Drosophila melanogaster: one gene and its partner. The protein of the gene in region 2 interacts with the protein of the main gene of each other region in a pairwise test. Each region holds a gene or a part of one and is shown on either strand. Other genes may lie near its edges.

Region 1 (3,754 bases), on a different chromosome or scaffold from region 2:
AGTGTTCTTAAGCTCGGAGTCCTTGCTTTTGTCCCGATTAAAATCAGCTACAATGTCATCATCCTCGAAGGCTTGACTGATTGTCAACTGGCGTTCAGCAGCGGCGTCTTCCTCGTCGTATTCAGCTGCTTCATCGTCTATTAGAGCATCGTTAAAGCCTCCCGAGTTGCCCTTCTTTTGGGTAAACACCAAAGTTGTCACCTTGTTGGGATCTATGGTATCCACAGCTGGAATTTCCGTGCTTTCTGTGTTACCTTCAACGTGGGCAGGGATATTATTCTGTGAATTTTTATCCTCCTCGTAGTTAAGGGGCTCGTCAATCTCTATCTGTTGCTTTGTCTTTTTTAAAGCCAGACTTTTTAGGTTTTGCAAGACGTCCTTCTTTTTCGCCTTCTTTCCCTTGACAGGAACTTCTTTAAGTTTGTTTATCCGTTCCCTCAATTTCTCCATTTTCTTATTTAGTTTGGCTCTGATATGATCCTCGTGTTTCTCAAAAATGTCATCAATGGCTTTTGAATTCGGGCTTGCCTTGGCTTCTTTCTGATCAGTTGGGCAAATATCTTCCACCTCCCAGCCATTTTCTATCTTAACTTTCGATTTCTTAAGTTTCTTCTTAGCAGGTTTTACTTCTATTAATGGTTTCCGAATAGTTTCTTTCTCCTCCTGCTCGTCATTATCCTGGACTCCTTCCAAATCCCTACGATGCTCCTCCAGTAACTTTTCGTTTTTATTCCTTTTTGTCCAATATTGCCGCCAATTGGAACCCTCACTTTCACCATTTCCATTTTCCGTTTGCTCTGTAGCTTTTCTTTTTGTCCAAGGATTAAAGGGATCGTAGTCATTATCCTCCTCCTCGGGTAAAACTCTCTTCTTGGTGGTTTCATCTTCGCTGTCTGACACCTGCTTTTTCTGGGTCAGTTCCCTGCTAACAGCCAACTGCTCGGCCAGATCCTTTCGCACATCCTTGTCGTACTTGGCCCGTATCTGCAGATTCTTCGCCCAAGTACCGGTGTTCTTGTGCCGCAGGCTGGCACGCTCCTGCACTCGACTCTTTTCCAGGGCATTAAGCTTTTCCAGCGCCGCCTCTGGATCGGTTTTCTGCAGCAACTCGAACTCCTTCATCTGCTCCAACATTTTTTGTCTCTTCTGCAGCTTGTGGAACTTTTTCGATTTGATTTTGTTTTGCATGCGCGCCTTTGCTGACTTTTGAGACTCGCGCATCTTCAGGTAAGCTAGCTCCTTGCGACGGGCAAATAGTTCGTCCCTGGTAAGCTTCTTTTGTAGTAAAAGCCGCTCTTGCTTGGCCAGCTCCTTTTCATCCGTGGTATCCCCAATTTGCGCTTTGCGCAGTTCCCGTAGTTTACGGTTGTTAGCCTCGAGTTCTTGAGCAAGATTGGACTTGACCCGGGTGTTTAGAGGCCTGGCATTTGCCGCAGTATTTACGTAAACCGTTTCAGATGGTAGGGGGAAGATCTGTAATAAGTTTTGGAGATTATATGTGTATGTCACTGTTAGCATTGGCATTCATTCACCTGCGTCTCCGCAGATCTCTGTTGAGCCACCACAGCATCCCAACGACCGAGTTTCTTGGTAACTCCCTCGTAGCCAATGGTCCGTTTAATTCGATCCGCAGCTGGTTTCTCCAGCGGCTTCTGTAGCACCTTTTTGCTGCCATGGATGTTCTTGAGCTTCTTGCCCGTCTGACTGTGCTTGGTGGAGGTGCGTAGGATGTCTACCAGATCGTTCAGACCCACGGCTCTGGGGGCATGATCCGTTTCCGCTGACGAAACACCTTTTACCAGCTGGAACTCATCCTGGAGCGACTGCCGCTCGTCGCGCGTGGACTTCTGGATGTGCTGCACCTTGCCCAGACTGCCGATGGCCTGCAGCAGCTTCTTGTGTGCCTTTGGTTCGTAGTGCTCCTCGTCGTCACTCATTTTTGTCAGGAAAATATTTAAAATCAAATAACAATACAAAAATACTTCGCGCAGCACGTGTGCAGAATAACAGCTGAAGAGTTATCGATAAGTTTTGCGGCCCATCACAATTTCTACCTGTGCTCGATAGCATGAGTGTGGAAAATGGAGCTGCCTTCTTTTAAAAATTAACTTAAATATAATAACATTTACTACTCAATACATATATCTATGCATCAAAAATCAATTGATTTTTTTTTAACAATAAATGTACTTTTAACTCAGCGAAAACCCCCTTCGTAACGCCCTTGATGATTACTATCGATTGTCCCCCCACGAAAGACCGGCTATCGATGACAACGGGATGAAAATATTTTGTTTACGAATTCGACATTCGAATCGTCATGGCCGACACGAAATCCGGTAGTGGTCGGCATTCGGCTGCCGGGGGAAGTGGAAACGCCGTCCTGTCGCCCTTGGGGCAGGGTCCTGCGAACTTGGAGTGTAAGGACTTTCAGGAGTATCTGCGCACCCGCCAAACGCCAGAGTCGCTGGAGAAGCTGTACAACTATCCGCCCATTTGTTTGGCCGTTTTTCGGGAGCTTCCAGAGATAGCCCGGCAGTTTATCATAAGGATACTGTTCGTGGATCAGCCTGTGCCACAAGCGGTGGTCACATCATGGGGTGCCCAACGTTGTGCCAAGTATGACTGTATCCAATTGGATAAACAATATCATTGCAATGCATTACTTTTGCAGGGAGCAAGCCGAGGCAACCAGCTGCCTGACGGCTTTGAACGTCTGGCGGGTCACAGCCATTCCGGGTGGCCTTTCTGCGTGGGAGCTCTCGCCCACCTTCAAGAAAAGCGTACGCCAGGTGCTGCTGGGCGGCGGAAAACCTTGGCCTATGACCAACACGCTGGATAAGGACTCGAAGCCCAGGGACATTGCTTTTCTGGATACATACGCCATGTCCCGCTGGCGTTGCGTGTTGCACTACATGGTCGGCACCGGAAATCGCAATGGCACCGATGCGGAGGCCATTAGTCCGGACGCCGTTCGGATTCTGCTGCACGCCAATCTCATGAAACGTGATGAACGAGACGGTATCACAATAACCCGGCAGGGCTTTCAGTTCCTGCTGCTGGACACGCGAGCTCAGGTGTGGCATTTTATGCTACAGTACCTGGACACGTGCGAAGAAAGAGGAATCAGCCTGCCGGAATGCTTGTCCATGTTGTTCCAGCTCAGTTTTTCAACGCTGGGCAGGGATTACAGTTCCGAGGGCATGAACAGTCAGATGCTGACATTCCTGCAGCATCTACGGGAGTTTGGACTGGTCTTCCAACGTAAGCGTAAGGAGGGACGCTTCTATCCCACACGTTTGGCTCTGAATGTGACAAGCAAGGAGGCGGCTGCGACTGCATCTGTGGCCATGGATGAGGAGGCCACTCAGGACTGTGGCTACATTGTGGTGGAGACGAACTACCGAGTGTATGCCTACACTGATTCTCCGCTCCAGGTAGCCGTGTTAGGTCTGTTCACGGAGCTTCTCTACCGCTTTCCCAATCTCGTCGTGGGCGTGCTAACCCGCGATTCAGTGCGCCAGGCGTTGCGTGGCGGTATCACGGCAGAGCAGATTGTCTCGTATCTGGAGCAGTATGCGCATCCCAATATGCGCATGGTCGAGTCAGCCATTCACTCTAAATCCTGCCTGCCACCCACAGTCGTTGATCAAATTAAGCTGTGGGAATTAGAGCGAAATCGCTTCACCTACACCGAAGGCGTGCTGTACAATCAGTTCCTCTCGCATACAGATTTCGTAACGCTACGAGACTA
Region 2 (3,754 bases):
CAGTACTGCGTGATTACCCGTGCCCCGGATCTGGATGTGGAGGCGATGCAGAAGCCGCTGGACTATGGCCACGCAGCCGGAGGAGCCACCAACATAATAGTAATGTCGCCGATGCAACTGCTGCCCCCCCAGCAGCAGCAGCAGCAGCCGCAACAGCAACAGCAGCAGCAGTAAGCACCATCGAAGAGAAAGGCTAACTGACTGGCCAATCAGCTATAAATACGAATTGTAAATAAAGTCTTAAGCAGCCGAGAGCAACCCTAAGTATATGTTTAACAACACTACCCAGCAAAACTAAAAACTAAAAACAAAGAAAAAAACAAAGTTTGTAAATGTCAGGTTATAAAGCATAGATCCCCGTGTCAGCGATGTCAACTCAAAATCAAACGTAGTCTAAGCAACCTAACATATCCCCCCGCAGAACGTATATGGTACCCATCTACATGAGCAGCCACCACACTGAGATATATAGATATGCCACTTCGCCGTTTCGCAATTTCAGACCCTCCAGAGTAGTATCCCCACATAGACCCGTATGCAAACCGAACGTGTATGATATTGTATGTGTTTCTATGGCATTGTTTGTACATTAAGCTTATTACGTACTCCAAATACGTCTTCGACTAAAACGCAGCCTGGGAGGTAAACCAAATAAAATGAATTAATGGAAGCAAAACATAAGTAGCAGTAGTAGTGTCCATCAGCAAAGCTCCCCACACATCTCCCCACTCCATTCCAATGGCAAACCATGTAAAGATCAAGAGAAAATAAATTTAATTTAATTAAATAAACACTGGTATGTTTTACTGGTGTTTCGCTTTTCCTTTTCAAAGTGCATTGTTCACGACATTGTGTCAGAGTATTGAGCTCCTCTCAACTTTCAGCCATGTAATGTTACGTATACGCAGTGTCGGCCATACTGAGCATCATTCAAGTGACACTCACTTGCGGCCAAAAGTACGTTGAAGTTGAAGCCATTAAAGCACCCAATAATTGGCATCTGTTGTCGTTTATTATTCTTGGTCGGCCAACTTTGGCGGCATTCTGGCTTTTTAGTCCGAACGGACAGGCCAAAAGCGAAGTAAAAACCAAAACATTTGGTCAACGCTGAGCTCACGAAAATCAACTTTTCGTTCCAAAAGTGAAAAATGCCGCGATTTGGTTTGACCTTAGATGGAAACTCGTCTCTGCCGCTGCGCCGTCGACTTCGCTGCCAACGTCCACGCTGCACTGGCAGCAAATAAATTTTTGCCTCGATGCTGTTTGTGTTTGTTGTTAATAAGTCACTCGAAGAATTTGCAAAAGGGTATAATGTATTTTCAAAAATCTTGCGAGAGGCTAAAAACCAAAACCAACAAGTGTGTCATTTTCCAAACTGCCTGCAGTGAATGCAGCGCACTGTTTGCTTTCGAAGAAATCGAATATGGAAATATAATTAAATGCTGTATATTTCCAATTCGTAGAGTATCCAAAAGTTTATAAACACAGAAACTCTCGTTTTTACTCACTTCTCGAGTTATTTTTCGCAAGAATCGCAAATTAGTCTGGGGCCTGGTTGATCACCTGAGCAAACGAAACTGAACGCCTACGACAAATGACAACGCCGATGGCGACGCCAACATCTCAGCCATTTTATGTGCTCTCCGGCCTCCGACGGATTCTTTTTGTGTCAGTCGGTTTGCGGACCAGTCTCCGATCAGTCGAGTGGACCACCAATCCGGCGAAGATTGGGCGACCATGCTGAACGGAAAATTCTACACGGGCTTGCCGCCCAAAATGGTGGAGCGCCAGGCGGTGAAGGTGTGCAATCGCCAGGAGTCGCACTTCTTCTGGCCAGACGATTCCCGAGCGGATTCCGCGGTGGAAACCCGAGCAAAGAGGAGAAACAGCCAGCAGCTGGAGAGGCCTGTGGAAAGGATTACTTCCAATCAGAATGTATCCGACGAAGTGGACACACGGCGAATGTTTCACAAGGAGTTTGCCAGTTCTTCCATACAGTTCTATGATAATCTGCAGTCTAATCCTGGAAATAAACCTTCATTGGCAAGGGGTCTACGCAGAGAAATAACCCCAAAACTAACCGAAGTGAGACCGCAGGAATCGGATAACAAAGCTGAGGACACCAGCAGCCGTCGCCAGCAGGCTTACAGCTCCAAGATCCAGTTCTACGATTATGTAAACGAAGCAGATAACCTAACTCAAAATAACGCCAGGAGACCACAAATGGACTTGAATGACAAGCGCGAAGTGGAACTGAATTCCAAGAACAGTCCCAAGCTGCAGGTCAAAAGAAATGTGCGCAGTTTCAGCGTGGAACTGGAGCCCAAGGTCACCAAGAAACCCCTGAACGACAGTCCCGAGTGGCGGCGGCCACGCCCACTGCCCCTGCCCAAAAGGATACTGAAGCAAACGTCACAGGATCAGGACCCGTACGACCATCTGGAAAGTCGAGTCCGAAGATTGCAACTAACCCGAAGTCCCGGACTGCCCAAAAAGCATGTGACCTACAACGAGGAGGCTGCCGAGTACGCCTACTACGATGATCGGGTGGATCGCGATGATCGGGAGGATCGCGAGGATCGTGAGGAGCCCACCTACGAAACTCGCTACCGTCAGCAGCCAAATATGCCGACAGGAAGTCGCCAGCAGCAGCAGCAGCAGCAACATCAACGCTCTTTTATGGAAACTAGTCGGAGCAAGCCATTAAATAATAATAATAATTATCAGGCCAACGGCAATGGTAGGAAAATCTTTCCAAAAATGCCACAGACCCAATCCGGAGTGGGTAACACACACACTATCGACGAAGATCCCCCCGTGCCCTCTGACCCTCGCAAACACCTGCGCAGCAGCCTCTGCTTCAGCGGCGACGCTTTGATGGTGGGCGGTACGGCGTCGCAGTCGCCGCCCACTGCGCAGGCGCGTCGCAGCTCAGCGGGGCAGAGAGTGAGCGTGGGTCTGCCGGACTGAGGGCTCCAGTTCGCGTGTTCAGTGATTAGTGCAGCTACACAGTGAGAAATGCAAGTGCAAAAACATATAACTGAAGCGATGAAGAAGATCATACAAGAATATCTGCTTGACAATCATTAGGATGAAATAGTATTACAAATATTTCTCTATGTAGTAAGTCGACAGCAACAATCTGCATTGCTAATTGAAAGCCAACAGCGACTGCAACAGAAGCAGCAACAACATCTGCAGCACAACAGCCACATCAGCAGCAAGTTGATGCGACAGCAGCAGCTCAACCTTTTTTTAGTTTTTACTTTTACGATCCCATACAAACTCTGAATTCACCCACATGCGAATGAATGAGTCGGCTTTTTTGTTGTTTTCGAGCGGTTGAATATACATACATAAACAAACCTTGATCTTGACTAATTTGTCGGCGATGCTGTTGTTGTGCACCACGATCATGTATTAATTTAGCTTTTAAAGCCAACGCAGAAAAATCTATAATTATAATGATAGAGATATGCTAATAAACTAATACATATATAACCAAATAAATTTCGAATCGGGAAATATTCAATTAAGCCTTAAAAACCTACTATAGGCACAGAAAAATATACATGGGCACTTAATCAATTCGTTTGGTATTCAGTTTTCAAACTAATAATGAAAGAGAGTGAAGTTCAAGTTGTTATATATTTATATCGAGGTAATCGAAAGCAGGCGCACATTGAACTTGGAAAGGCTTGCCATGAATACAACGCAGCTATTCATTGTGTGCATTGTGTGAATAGAAACTTAT

What was found. The genes of interacting proteins can lie anywhere in the genome.
Region 1: the proteins of CG15546 (region 2) and CG12301 interact in a two-hybrid assay, tested with the Drosophila melanogaster proteins (one large-scale study listed by BioGRID).

What each region holds. Positions count from the first base shown.
Region 1 is NT_037436.4:15,579,073-15,582,826, reverse strand, and holds the start of CG12301 (uncharacterized protein), read right to left. Parts: upstream 2,028-3,754; 5' UTR 1,938-2,027; coding exon 1,533-1,937; intron 1,474-1,532; coding exon 1-1,473. Other genes in the region: mrn (marionette), read left to right, coding at 2,321-2,619, 2,675-3,754.
Region 2 is NT_033777.3:30,874,118-30,877,871, reverse strand, and holds CG15546 (uncharacterized protein), read left to right. Parts: upstream 1-1,685; 5' UTR 1,686-1,737; coding exon 1,738-2,970; 3' UTR 2,971-3,507; downstream 3,508-3,754.